Tribolium castaneum: one gene and its partner. The protein of the gene in region 1 purifies or fractionates together with the protein of each later gene. This does not show direct contact. Links are inferred from orthologs where the notes say so. Each region holds a gene or a part of one and is shown on either strand. Other genes may lie near its edges.

Evidence for each region.
Region 2: the proteins of Polr2J (region 1) and MED4 purify together in Homo sapiens (affinity purification with mass spectrometry; 3 studies listed by BioGRID and IntAct, with this or other methods). This does not show direct contact. The link is inferred for Tribolium castaneum from reciprocal best matches to the Homo sapiens genes POLR2J and MED4.

Annotation. Positions count from the first base shown.
Region 1 is NC_087395.1:21,128,763-21,135,759, reverse strand, and holds Polr2J (DNA-directed RNA polymerase II subunit RPB11), read right to left. Parts: upstream 3,393-6,997; 5' UTR 3,150-3,392; coding exon 3,097-3,149; intron 3,042-3,096; coding exon 2,952-3,041; intron 2,902-2,951; coding exon 2,691-2,901; 3' UTR 2,646-2,690; downstream 1-2,645. Other genes in the region: uncharacterized protein CLIP-190, read left to right, coding at 1-1,677, 1,726-1,904, 1,950-1,996; mitogen-activated protein kinase 1, read left to right, coding at 3,691-3,818. UniProt on the Homo sapiens protein: Core component of RNA polymerase II (Pol II), a DNA-dependent RNA polymerase which synthesizes mRNA precursors and many functional non-coding RNAs using the four ribonucleoside triphosphates as substrates.
Region 2 is NC_087397.1:1,782,521-1,790,054, forward strand, and holds MED4 (mediator of RNA polymerase II transcription subunit 4), read right to left. Parts: upstream 3,523-7,534; 5' UTR 3,401-3,522; coding exon 3,333-3,400; intron 3,283-3,332; coding exon 2,589-3,282; 3' UTR 2,327-2,588; downstream 1-2,326. Other genes in the region: mAChR-B (muscarinic acetylcholine receptor gar-2), read left to right, coding at 1-1,161; uncharacterized protein LOC661495, read right to left, coding at 3,622-3,854, 3,904-4,547, 4,595-4,863; beta-PheRS (phenylalanine--tRNA ligase beta subunit), read left to right, coding at 5,202-5,259, 5,312-5,367, 5,423-5,583, 5,632-5,971, 6,024-6,203. UniProt on the Homo sapiens protein: Component of the Mediator complex, a coactivator involved in the regulated transcription of nearly all RNA polymerase II-dependent genes.

The sequences.
Region 1 (6,997 bases):
CACTAAATCTCCATTTAGCTCAGATCGCTGCGTCTTGCCAGAATTAAATTTACTTGATTGTGAGAATTTACAACACCAAGTCTTAAAATTACGCCTTCCAGGCTGTAATCCTACTGAGTTTGAGAAGTTCCAAGAGAGCCTATATCAGTTACAACGCAAATATTGCACGAAAATGCACGTAGATCCCGTACCTCGTCCTGGAGACCTTGGCAGTTTAACTAATTCTCCAAGCCGTATATCAAACCATCAGTCTAGTTGCCACTTGCCCCGAATTGGTCTTCACGGATGTACTAATCTGCAAAACCAAATCGAATCATTGAATCTAAATCACTACGAATTGGGTTCGGTTAACGAGTTCAAACAAAATTTGCTTTCGCTACTTTTGGAACAAAGACGGTGCAAGGAAGGTGGCTCAGAACCCGAAAATTGTCGACCAAAAATTGTTAAAGTACCACAGCCTCCGAGGATTATTGTTAAACACGTACCGGTTTATATAAAACCTGAAGGAGTGAACCATAAACCAGGTGATGCATCATCTAATAACGCTGGACTGGTTCCAGTTGGTGCTAAACCTGTTACTTTATGCCCTAAACCACAAATTGTAGTTAAGGAAGTACCAATTGTTCGAAAAGTTTTCGTTCTACAACCTTGTAATACTGAATCTGGCGATAATAAATTTTTGGGACCACAATCAGGTAAACCTACCATGAAACAATCGCCAGGTCCGAACGTTTTGGTCAAGCAGGTACCAGTGTATATTAAAGTACCCAAAATCGTGGAGAAACAAGTACCGGTTCGTGTATTAGTACCACCAAAGGTGATAATTAAGGAAGTTAAGGTACCAATGGTCAATGGTAAGTCGTGTCCGCCTCCAAAAGTTGTGATTGAGAAAGTACCAGTGCCTCAACCTCCACAAATTATCACAAAACCGGTACTCGTTTCAGTACCTTGCAATAAGACGGGTCAAATTATTTTACCAACTTTGCCGCTTCCTCGAAATTGCGAACGACCTGAAAATGTAGTAAGCGCAGTAATTTTGGGCGGTTTTGGGTCAAATAACCTCGAATTGTTCAAACGAAATTTGCTGCAATTGCTCAAACACCAACAGAATTGTGATTTCGGTCCTAAATCTGCGCAGTTAGATCGTGCGAGATTCCCGTCAAAGGGGCCACTGTGTCAGGCCAGATTACTAAAACGGGTGCACACTTACGCCTCTCAGTTGTGTCGATACAAGAAATTAATCAAACAGTTGCAACTCCAATTGAACGGTTTGTCGAATTTGCGACAAGAGCAGTTACCTGCAGTTCCTCTCCCGATGTTGCATGTCATGAAGTCTGTCTCTCCTTCCGTTCCTTTGCGTCCCTTCCAGCATGTTTCGTCGGTGTCCGCGTCTCGAGCAACATTTGTCAGAAACCTGAACCAAGTTTACAGACACACACAAGCAGCATTGCAACATTGCATGGACGCTATTTTGGCTCAGTCATTAACTCACTCGCAGATTAACGCCAAATGTAACAATTGTCACCAGCTTATTCAGGACAAGGAGATGGCAGAGAACCAGATCAAGTTCCTCAATTCGATTATCGTGGATATGCAGAAGAAGACGGAAGAGCAAAGGGCGAGGATCGAGATCTTGGAGTCGGGATATAGTCCGGCAATGGCTGACGAATTGAAATTGTAAAGGGATTTGTTAGTGGAGATTGCTTTGTGATGGGGTTTTTGTAGGATGGGTTCGCCGCAGCGTCAAGTGCCTCCGAGGGTCTATTGCGATATTTGCGAAGAGTTTGATTTGCACGAAACGGAAGACTGTCCCAAACAAAATACTGACTTAGCGCCGGCTAATGGAGGACAGAGGGGGGAGCATAAACATGTGCCGGAAAGGCCTTATTGCGAAATATGCGAAGGTAAGAATTTTTACTTTCTAACATTTGGTTTAATTACTGTTTCAGCCTTTGGTCATGCCACAGAAGATTGCCAGGAGGATCAGACATTTTAGAACATATTCTGTTATTAATAATTTATTTAGCAAATTAATAAATATCTTGTAAAAATTTCTAGTTAATATTTATTTGACACAAATTAGTTGTTTTGTAAGTTATCCGTTGATGAGGTTAATTGTAAATAAAGGATTGTGAATTAAATAAAAATATATTTTTCTGTTAATAACAGTTACATGCTCGTTTCTTTCTTCAACCACTATAATTATAATTAAGTCAGAAAAAATTTCTGGAAAGGTAAACAAAAATGAAATTGTTCTTAAATACCTAAATGACATAACGGTGCAGTCAGAATTATTTTCAAAATTTAGCCAAAAATCATCCAAGTTTTAAAGTATTTTTGAGGTTTTTTTTTTAATTGAAAACTCACTTTCGATATACAGGCTAATTTTTAAATAGACCGATAAAATTTTATTACTCATGGTGGAGCTCGCAAAACGGACAGCCTGTGTACACGGATCACTGAGGTTTTACTGTATTTACGTAAGTGCTTTAAAGCACAGACTTTGCCACCTTTTAATAAATCTTAAATAGCTTATTTTGAATAAAAATTGAAAACGAATTATTAACCATCATAAATAAACAAGTCATTTTAAACTTTTGACGCTGGGACGCAAGACATATTTTTGGGTACATAACAAAGACTGATTTATCGAAGCATAAACTTTATTATTAGTGAATAAATTCAAATACTTAATCTAAACCTTCTTTCTTTTCCTTGATCGCTTCCTTAAAACGTTCTTCAAACAAAGACAACTCTGAAATCAAATCTGTGATAGAATTCATCAAAGCTTCTTGAGGCGAATAATCAGATGTTGTTTGAATTCTCAACACAAATTTATGCTCAAGTGGATGAGGCACCTTGTATCCAGCAAACAAAACGTTCGGATCTTTTAACAATTGGCTAAAAAATCAAAAATAATTCAACCTAAACCTTAATGTTTTGTTACACACTTTCTGATCATGTTTCCCAACGTGTGGTCTTCTTTGTTTATGGTAAAAATAGCCGCGTTTGGCACTTTTGTGTCTTGTTCCCTTATTATCCTAAAAACACAATTTGTAAAAATAAATTTTTGGTCCAGAGAATTTGCCCACTCACTTTTTCTCTCCATCATAGAGCAAAAATGACTCGAAGGTTGGTGGCGCATTCATCCTGAATGGAAATACTGTTCACTGAGCTTTTTAAACCGCTTATTAATTTTTAACAACTTTTTATTAGTGCGTCACTTTTTTGTGGGTTATGTCACCTGTCCTGTCATCTGTCAAAAACCAAATATCGGAATTTTTTATTTTTCTGTTTAAAAACTTATCGAACGTCTAATAGGGTATTACAAATGCCGCCAAAATGAAAATTGTAGCCCTATTGTGGGTTCGATAATGGAAAATAAAATTAGGGTGCTTCCCGACTAGTGTTCAGTTGGTCCACCAGGGGGCGCGTTATTTGGCTATCTTTTCTGGGAATAAATTCGTTTTAAAAACCAAAAAAGCCTCAAATTTGGAAAAATCCACGTGAAAACGTTACTAACGAGTCTACAATTAGTTGGAGTTTGAAAAAATTGGTAATAAGTGTGAATAATAACGATCTGATATCAGCTGATAAATATTAGGGATCGGCTCCTCTCTGCTTCAGTCTGTGGCTTCAGTGTGCGTGAGTTTGTCATCGAGGAAGGTAGTTTAGGAGGTTTCGCTAAAAATGGCGGAAGCCACAGGTGTATCAAGTGTAAATCCGAATGCAGAAGTTGTAAGGGGTCAGGTATTTGAGGTGGGCCCCCGTTACACGAACTTATCATACATTGGAGAAGGCGCATACGGAATGGTCGTGTGAGTAAATTTTCCTTATCATTAGTCGCTGTGGTTTTCTAACTTACACGCCCTAAAATTGCGGATATTGTTCCAGTTTCAGTAACTCGATCATTTTTTAGTTTTACCGGTTTTGTACAAAAAGAAAAATGTTCATAAAGTTGGCGGTGGCTTGTCAAATGGTTTTTTCATTAGAGGTTGAGGTTATGTATACATAACTTCCTGTCATTAGTTTGGAAGAAATCGATGTTTTAGGACGGTAGCCTGGAGACAAGTGATTTATTTAAAGTTTTTGGCTGATTTCGGGCTTTTCCGAAATTGATTCATTGGCTCCGAGTTTCATACATGAAACAATTTGCTATTTTTAACTAACAAAACATTTAAAAACGTCAAATTATTTTATTTTTAGAAGACAACACCGACTACTTTTCGGTAATTTTAGCCTAATTGTTAGAATAAATTGGTATGATTATTATTTTGTGACTTTTTTCTTATTTTCTGTTTTTTAGTTTTATTGTTTTTGCATATTATGCTAAAATGAAATAATTTATTCATTAATTGTTGACAGTAGCACTTATTTGGTATATCAACTAACTTTTTTTATTAATAATTAATATTGTATTATTACTACTATATATTATACTTATTATAGATCCTACATTTAAAAAACATTGAAGTTATCTACGCTTACAAATTTTTAAAAAAATTGTTGGGTACCTTATTAAATACAGTGTGTATCACACAATTTTAAGAGACCTGTTTTTAAAGTGCTCATCCAAATACCATGCGATTTACTAAACTTTTGATCTAGTTATTCATGACAGTTAACGTTATTACGTTAACCCGATGTCCATTACGGAAGAAGGTTCCAACCTGGATTCCAACATAATTTTTTTGTTCTTTGCTGAACATTTTGGACATAGTGACAGATAAAGCAATGCTGAAGATATTTACGCAATTCGTTTCTGCTGGCGAAACTCATGGTAACTAGATCAAAATTTAAAAAAATCGTATTGTACAAGGTGTATACAAATAGTAATCTCACGGAAATCAGCGTTTGGTATTAAATACTTTATTTTTTCTCTATGTATGTGAATTTTTTCAGAATTTTTCTATAATTTCGTATACAATAAATAAATATTTATTAAAAATATTAATACATGTATGCCATGTCGGTTCATAGTAGAATTTAGCAACAACGCATTTGCATTTTTTGCAGTGAAATAAAGTACAAATTGAGATTGAGGTTGCGACTCGGAGGTGACAAGTGATATGAATTTAAAAAAATCAGAAGTTCAGTCTCTCAACTACTTCAAATCGCTTTTTATTTTTGGTAGATGCACTGTATAGTTTCAGAAATAATTATACAATCAATTTTTTTCGAAAAAGTTAGGCTATTTCACTTTATAAAGCTGGGGATAGCGACTAGGAGGCACACAAATTTTTTTACATTATTTACTTTGGGTTTATTCCTATTTATTTATGTTAGGGTATCTAACATAAAATCTAAATTTGAAATTTAGTGAGTTTCTGTGAGTTTTTTCTCCTTGGGCTTTTTGACGGTTGGGCTTTTAATTATGTGTTTTTTTTGGGTGGACTTTTCTTTTCTAGGTGGGCTTTCTTTGTGGGGTGGTTTCAACTTGAGGTTTTTTCTATGTGGATTTTTTCCTTGTGATTTTTTTCGATGTGATCTTTTTTCGTGTGGGCATTTTTCTTGTGTGTATTTTTTATGTGAGCTTATTTCAGCGATTTTTTTTGTGTCTCGTCTGTTATCAGTTTGTATTTTTTTTCTTGAAGGTATTTCAAACTTTATAAATGTGGCTCTAGTTGTAGTTTGCAAACAATTTGATTGGGACTAAGTTCGTATAAAGAAAAATTTACTTCTACTGATATTGTTCGTAAAAACTGAAATTAACAGTGCAAAGTGTCCCGTCCGTTAAAATGGAATGGCTGTTATCAAATTTTCAAGATCTAGAGTTTCGATTTATCGAGGTTCCGCTGTATTTATTATTAGATACCTCGAGCAGTAGAAATTCGATAAGTCGATCTCTAAACCGCAATTTGTCTTTTTCGTCCACCATTTACACTTTGAGTCCAGCGACAATTTTTTTTGCGCAAAGCAACATTTTAGCATTGTTCGTCTTTGAATGTCGTATGAAATTATGAAATCTTAAGTTGTTTTTTTTTCAATTCGAATATATAAGTAATTGTAAAAAGAATGTTAAAAAAATTATATATATAGAGTGTCTCAAAATTGGCAAATTTCGAGTTTGGAGCATTGTAGAAAATCACTTCAGTAATCCAAATATAGAAAAAAAAGATTGTGGGCTTCTTTACAAAGATGCACTAGTTTGAAGATAACTTTTGAATTGCGTTTTCTTCAAATGCAAGCTAAAAGTTCCAGTTTTTATTGCGATATATGGTGTACATGATTGTGGAGAATAATTATGTAAAATAATTTTCTTAAAAATTAGCGTTATATTAGAGAAAGGAATCTTAAATTTTGATAATTTTCGAGAAATTATTTTGCATTATTATTTTACACAATTATCTTCACCATAAATAACAATAAACACTAAAATTTTTTGCCTGTATTTGAAGAAAACGCACCTGAAGTGCACCGTCAAACTAGTGTATCTTTGTGGGGAAGCTCCAAATCTTTATTTTGTTTCTACATTTGGACTAGTGAAGTCATTCTCTACAACGCTCTGAACTGGGAATTCAACAATTTTGAAACACGATTAATCGGATGTATAGAGAATGAATTTTGAATTTGAATTTTGATTGGTTGTTATTTTTGAGATACTGTAAAAATATATCTTTAGCAGCCCCTCCTAGTTGGAAAATAAAAAAAAAGAGGATTATTGGGGCTGTGGCTACGGCAACGTCGCCCCCTTAGTAAATATGCTATGGGGACGCATGCCTCATTTGTACTAAATACATATTATCTTCTTTTGAAAATGGTAATATACTTACCTACATATTTTTATTTATTTCATATCATTATCCGGTAGATTCAGGTTCCCGGTTTCATTTTGAGTACGGGAAGTGAGCTATTATGGTGAACAGTGTAACCAAGCAACACCGGATCCTTATTTTTCACACAATAACGTCAACTCATAAATATATTTAAGTATTTGAAGATTTTTTAAATAGTACAAAAGATTTACTACCACGTATACGATTTTATTTACTCATTA
Region 2 (7,534 bases), on another chromosome or scaffold:
GATACGAACAACGTGGAGAGGAAAAACTTGTGTCTTCCTACAGGTCAAACGTCTAGCGGTGACCAAGACAAGTCTGAGAGGTCGAGCAGCCCGGCATTCGAATCGGACGAGGACAGTTCAGCCCAACACCAAACCAAGAAGCGCTCTTCCATAGTAGGGATAGTGGTACAGAGCAGCGCCCCCCTCCACATGTTCGAGAACAACAATCGCGTGAACGGCGGCATCCCCTCCAGCCAACCAGAGAAGCGCTCGCCCACTCTGCCTCAGATCTCCGAGCAGAGCTCGGCCAATCCGCAAAAGCCGGTAGGTTGCTCCGCCCCTCTTCAGCCCTCCCCTTCGCCAAAATCGACTCACAGCATCATTCCGCCCCCCGAGCAGTTCCAGAGTAGCCCCCCCGGACGCCCCCGCAACTTGCATGTGACCCCTTACGACGCCCTCGTCGGCCTAGACGGCGCCGACTTGCGGTACATGGACGAGAGCTCGGTCGTTGTCCCCTCCCCTTCGTGCGAAAGCCCCCCCTCGACGCCCCCTCCCACTAACGCGTCTTTGCTCCAGACGACGCTGATCCGCACGACTAGGAAAGTCAACACGGAGGTGACTCTGAGCTCTGACCGGCCTATCACCAGTGTTTGCGAGCTGTCGGTTGATGGCGCGAGGGACTCCGACCCCAGCACCCCCTGCGGCCTCTCCGCCATCAGCCAGACAGGTAATGCGGCCGCCATCATGGCGGCGACGACCATTGTCGAAGTCAGCAGAAATAAAACTTTTACTAAAACAGACACGGACGATAACGGCGCCGCCAAGAGGGATTTCGTCAAAAACATCGGCAAGAAGCTAAAGGGGAAGAAGAAGAAGGCGGTGGTACCGTTCGGGGGGTTCGGGAGGCAGAAGTCCAAGTCGGAGAACAGGGCCAGGAAAGCCCTCAGAACCATCTCATTCATTTTGGGAGCTTTCGTCATCTGCTGGACCCCATACCATATTTTTGCTCTCGTCGTGGGATTCTGCTCGGACCCACCGTGCGTCAACGGACACGTTTACATGTTCTCCTATTTCCTTTGCTACGCCAACAGCCCCCTTAATCCCTTCTGTTACGCTCTTGCCAACCAACAGTTCAAAAAGACTTTTACTAGAATTTTAAAAGGTGATCTACATTTGACGTAAACGGCGATAATTTCGTAGTACCACCTCCTGACTAGGAACTATTTTCTTTTAAACATTACTTACTGTACTTAATACTCGTGCATAGCATTCGTTCAGGTCAATAATTACCAAAAGACAATAATATATTTATAGGAATCCTAAATTAGCTCATTAGAGGTACCACGCTGGTTTTACGCGGGACCCAAGCTTCACTAAATTATTTTAATATTTTGTAAATACACGCCTTTAGCTACAAAATGTACTTTAGTGCGCAAATACATGTAATAATTAATTGACAGTTCGGAAAATGTGGTACTGTATATATCTGTAAAGTTAAGTGTATAAGAAACCCGATTATTTATAAGTACGTAATGACAGTCTGCTGTACTGAGCCCTACCAGCTCACTCTCATTACGTTTCCAGTCCTTTGAAAACGTGCTCTAGGCGAATCAAATGAGAGTATTTTTCTTGATATTTGAGTAAATTAGGTAACAAGAGAAATTCCGTTTGTTGCAAAGGTACTATTATTTTTGGAAAGTTGAGACACTTTGTGCTGTTCTACAATAAGTGCATCGCCACTACCTTAACACATGGTAATAATGGGAGTAGAGCTGTTAAAAAAGAATCAGTTATTGTCGATATTCATTAAAGCGTTGTTTAATCAAAGTGCATTGTTAAGCTCAAGCACCACCAGTTGATCAAGCCTTGGAAATGAGTCGCCTGTATGTTATTGATTTATTGATACCCATATCGCGTAATAATGACAATAAATAACTCGTTTGTTAAAGTATTTCGAAAAATTGATTACAGTTGGAAACTTATCATTATCGATACTGTGATACGATAATGTCATTGTTAAGAATATCGATAATATTCGGTGACTTTCTCTCGTTTTTCAGCCCTAGCTCTGCTGTAATAACGCGGTTTAATTTTCAAATTATCACACTACGACCCTGTGATAAAAAACTCACATATCCGATAAAAATTTAAATCAAAAAACCTACTTGTAAATTTGTACCTATCATAAAGACGCAATCAAAACAACAAACTTGTTTTTATAGAAAGTGAGTGTTGTTTAGAAATTTCAGAAAATGAGAAACTGCTTCATTTTTGTGATTATCATTTCATCAAACAATAAATTTGAATCACTTCAGCTTGTAGGGAATAATTAAATAATAGACGTTGGTATTACAATGAAATGTGTTTTATTTTCCTTCCATTATAAACAAACATAAGAAAACAATATTCGTCAGACGCAAACAAAGATCTTATCTAAACTGTCACGAAGAGTTGATTGATGAGATAAGCAGACAAGACTTTTTCCCCAAATAGCCGCCTCAATCTATTGATTTATCATTTTATTTCCCCTCATGGTATACTCTCCACACAAACTCGCTTAATTTTTTTATATAAATATGATGAATCAAGTCCAGGGAAAAAACACAAAACTACTGAGAATCGCTTGAGGAACTGCTGCTGGAGTCCGTGGACATGACCTCCACATCCTCGGTCTCCTGTTTATGGTTCCGCGTGTCCATCGGGACACTCCCTTGCCCCACACTCATGTGAATCTCCCCCGAGGGATGCCATGCAAATTGATTTTGTTGCGCGGCGGGTATTTCCCCCGGGTGCCCCTGTCTATGTAAATCTGACAAACTGTTCTGCTGTTGCAACAAATGCCCGTTAATTGGATCGCTCATCAGCCGCCCCAGCAGCCCCAACCGCATCTCAATATCGGTGGGGTACGGCCGGCGCGGGTCCCCCTGTTGCCACGTCAAGGGGGCACATATCGCATTAGACGCGCTAATCCTGTGCGCAAATTTGATAAGTTCCTCGGACGAGACCGGCCGTTTATTTGCGCGGGAAATGGACTGGAGTTTCTGGTTGGCTTGATAAATCGCAGTGGCCAGGATTTGCTCGGCCTCTTTGAGCTGTTTTTGCAAGTTGTTAATGTCGTTGTCCTGACGCTCCACTTCGGCCTTCAAGATGTCCATTTTTTTGTCGATTTGCGCCTGTTCAGCGGCCAGTTTAAGGGTTTCAGTCAGTTCGGTGTTTTTGGCCACCAAAAGCTCGGTCAGTTGAGCGTATTCAGGGCCGGAAAGCTTGAGGTGCTTGGGGGCGATTGAATTCTCGATTATTTCTCTAAAAAACGCAAATAAAACCATACGAAATGACCCGAAAGGGGGACGTACTTGGAGATTAACTCAATATCGTCGAGGATGTAAAGGAGTTTTTCCTTCGTGCTCATTTGAGACGACATAATGATGGGGAAAAACACTCACGGGTTTAAATATTAAACGAAATAATCAATTGAACAGTTTTTATTTCGAACACAACCTCAAATACACAAATGTCAAAATAACGCGCACACTGCGATGCCATCTGCCCAGAGAATAACTAAATCGTAAGAGCGGGAATTTTAATCGAAAAAATTACTTTATTGAAAGAAACCTAAGCTAAATTAAAATATATACACAAAATTCAATTCTCTTCACTCTTGACTTGAACCGCCGGCTCTTCCTGCTTCACATCGTCATCCTGTGTCTCATCTTTACTATTCTCATGCAATAAAACGTACTCCCTTGAGCTGAACCCAAACTTGATCACGTCTTTCTCCAACAACTCCACATATTTACTCGGCTCTATCTTCTTATTATTGATAAAAGTCCCATTAGCCGAGTTCAAATCAATCAAATACGGCCTTATTCTCTTCCCTGAAAAAAACAATGAAAAACCCAACACACTACCAGCTGTCCCACAAACCAGTGGTGCCATCCTCACGCGTGAAAGGGACTAGGCGATACTGCAAAGCTGCGTGTTGTTTTGAGCACGAAGGGTGATCTACAGGGAGATCAACAACTTTGCGATCGCGCCCAATCAAGTAGGCGCTTTCGCGATGTATGTATAAAGTCTGAAGGGCCTTTTCGCCCTTAAAAGGGTACAACCGCCACCGACGTTTCGGCTTGCAAGCCTCAGGCGGCTCGCTATATTTTATAACAACGCCACGATAAGTGTTAGTTTCTTCGGTAAGTTTTCCCGAAAGACCGAAATTCGGTTTTTGCTTTTCCTTCTGGTCTTTTTCCTTCTTGTCGGATTTTTTGTCGTCCGACTCGCGGCCCCAACGGGCGTTCGAGTGGTCAAAGGAGGCGCTTCTGCTACGCCGCCTTGGATGGTTCTCTCTGTTTCGCTCCCGGTTGTGGTAATTTTTGTTATCGTCCCGTCGGTTCCTGTAATCCCGTTCCCTGTCTCTGTAATCAGGACGCCGGTTTCTGAACCTGTTATCGTGAGAACGGTGGTCATTGGGGCGGTTTCTCCTGTCGTCATGCCGCCCCCGATCGTCCCGGACCCTCTTATCGTCCCTCTCCCGCCTGTCCCGATTTTCAGGCACAGGACTCCGCTTGCGTTTCCTTTAAACACAACTAGTATTTTCCCTTAAAACCACCAACAATCATACCTGTCGGTTTCTTCCTCATTTGTTGGCTTTTTGTCCCTCTTTTTTGCCTGTTTATTCGCCTCGTCACTTGCCACAGGCGGAGTTTCGTGTTTTTTATGCGAGTTTGCCTTCGTTTTGGTTTTCTTCGGCGATTCTTCAGTCTCAGGTTTCGATTCGGTTTTCTTGCTTTTACGTTTCGGGCGCCGTTCGGGTGATGAATCGGAGCTTTCGCTGCTTGAATCTGATGAACTGGAGCTGCTGGAAACGCGCTTCTTCTTCTTTGAGCCCATTTTTTGTTTGTTTGGGCGAAGTAACTTTAAGGTTATAAGAAACGCTACGTCTCGCAATTGACAGGTGTGCCAATACAACCGGCGAAAAAAAATATTGTGGGAAAAAATTAATTAAATTTGCATTATTATGTTCCGATTATAGTTCTGACGAAGACTAATTGTTAAATAATCTTAAAAACTGGCGTTTTTTCTCGAAAACTGATCGCTGATGCTGACAATTGACCCAACCTCAACTTTTGACATTGACAGGTCCCGCACATGTCATCGTTTTTTCAGTTGTGAAACACTTTAAACGTGTTCATTTTTAGACAAAAACGTGATAGTAAATAAAAAATACAATGCCGACTGTGGGTGTCAAGCGCAATTTGCTATTCGAAGCCCTTGGGCGCACTTTCAGTAAGTTGTTTGATCACTGTGCCCCCTTATTGCCCCAATTTGCAATTTCCAGCCGACGATGAATTCCAGCGTTTATGCTTCGAGTTCGGTCTTGAACTGGACGAAGTCGTAAGTATTAATCTTTCAAGCGATAAAATGATGCAATAATGCCCTAAATTTCAAGACAACTGAAAAACAGATGATAAGTAAGGAACAAGGGGAGGATTCAGCCCAGGCGGCGGGAGCCTCCGAGGAAGTCATTTATCGAATTGACATTCCTGCAAACAGATACGATTTATTGTGTCTTGAAGGCATTTCATTAGGAATTAAAATATTTCAGGGGAAGTGAGTCATTAGTTTTGCCTTGACTTTGGCACTGTAATGTTTTTGTAGAATTCAGCCGCCGGTTTACAAACGTATCAAACCGTCATCAGACAGTATTCAAAAAATTCACGTCACACCCGAAACGGCGAAAATCAGGCCTTATATCGTAGGCGCCGTTTTGCGTAATTTATACTTCACTCAAGATTCTTACAACAGTTTCATTGATTTGCAAGATAAGTTGCATCAGAATATTTGCCGCAAACGCACGCTTGTCTCAATCGGGACGCACGATTTAGATACAGTTCAGGGGCCCTTCACCTATGACGCTAAACCACCTTCTGAGTTTAAGTTTGTACCACTTAATCAAACCAAAGAGTGTGACGGCAACGGCGTTATGGAGCTCTATTCAGTAAGATTTTGACCGAGTTTGGGGGATTCCCAACAGTCACGTGATATTTCAGGCGCACGCGCAGCTAAAACAATACTTGCACATCATCAAAGACAGCCCTGTATATCCACTCGTTTTGGACAGTAATGGGGTTATTTTATCCCTTCCGCCGATTATTAATGGGGATCACTCCAAAATTACACTCAACACCAAAAATGTTTTGATTGAATGTACGGCAACTGATTTGACTAAAGTGAGTTGAACGTTTCAATTGAAACATGCCATAGTGGAAAATTTTATTCATTAAAAAAATTCATAACTCGAAAACTAAAAGTCGTAGAGCAATGCGGTTTGTTCCATTGAATTCAGCGGCTCATTTTCTGTGTTATACCAACTTTTCATGAGATTTAAAATTTTCATTTTTTTTGCTAAAATTTTCTGAGTAATACACTTGCTTACCTTCAAGAAGGTGAAAAAAAAAATTTTTTTTAAACTAACTCCTGCAAATTTTTATGGACTTCTACATGTCTTAACAACCCACTACAGTTGCTAAAAGTCCACAAAAAGTCCAAATGTTCGATTTTTTGATGTTTGATTTTTTCAATTTTCGTCGTAGTTTTTGTCGGTTTTGGGTACCCGGAACATTTCTCGAGCAATAGCTCCGGAACTATTTGAGATAACTCCATGAAGTGTACTATCGTTGGAAAGCTCTTTAAATTATCTATTTTTTTCAAAAAAGATTATTGTTCTCCGACTAATAGTTTTCGAGCAAATTGCTGCTAAATGCAAAAATTGGTAAAATTTTAAAAAATTCATAACTAAAAAACTATTGGGAATTTGGCAATTTTCTCGATGCCAATCGATTCCCCGGATCATTTTGCATAGGTGTGGATCAAAACAGTTTCACTTTTTAGAATAGTTTAGCCGTAAATGAGAAAATAAAAAAAATTAAAAAAAAGTTAACACCCCCCCCTTAAAATCGGTCAATTTTTAAAGTGTCTCAAAATCAAATAAAACCGATTCTATCTTATAGATTTTGATGTGCTCTTTCCGATCTAAAAAAGCGTTTTCTCCTAGCTCTCTTAGTTTGGCCGTAATCGGCGTTTGAAAATTGAAAAATTTTTTGCGAGATATCGCCTTGAGTCCTATGCCATTTTGTAGAGTTTTTTATTCCGGTTGTCCTCCATTTTTCCGTTTCTCGATAACTCTAATAGTTTCGCCGTAATTAGCGATTGAAAATTGAAAAAAAGTGAAAATGGAAACCTTTTTTTGCGTTTTTCTCGGAAACTGTAAGACTTAGAGCAACGAACAAAAAATCATCTGATAGCGCTTAATTTTAGCTATTTTTTCGACCAAACCCGGAGCCGCTCCGGGCAACGGTTCCGGCTACAGAGGCGATCAAAGTTTTTCGCTAAAAAAATTCATAAAAAAAAAACTAAACGTCGTAGAGCACTGCGGTTTGTTCCATTGAATTCTACGGCTCATTTTACATATTATATCAATTTTTCACAAGAATTAAAAATTTAAAATTTTTTGCCTAAATTTAGGGTAGCCATTTGTCATAGTGGAAAATTTTATCCAACA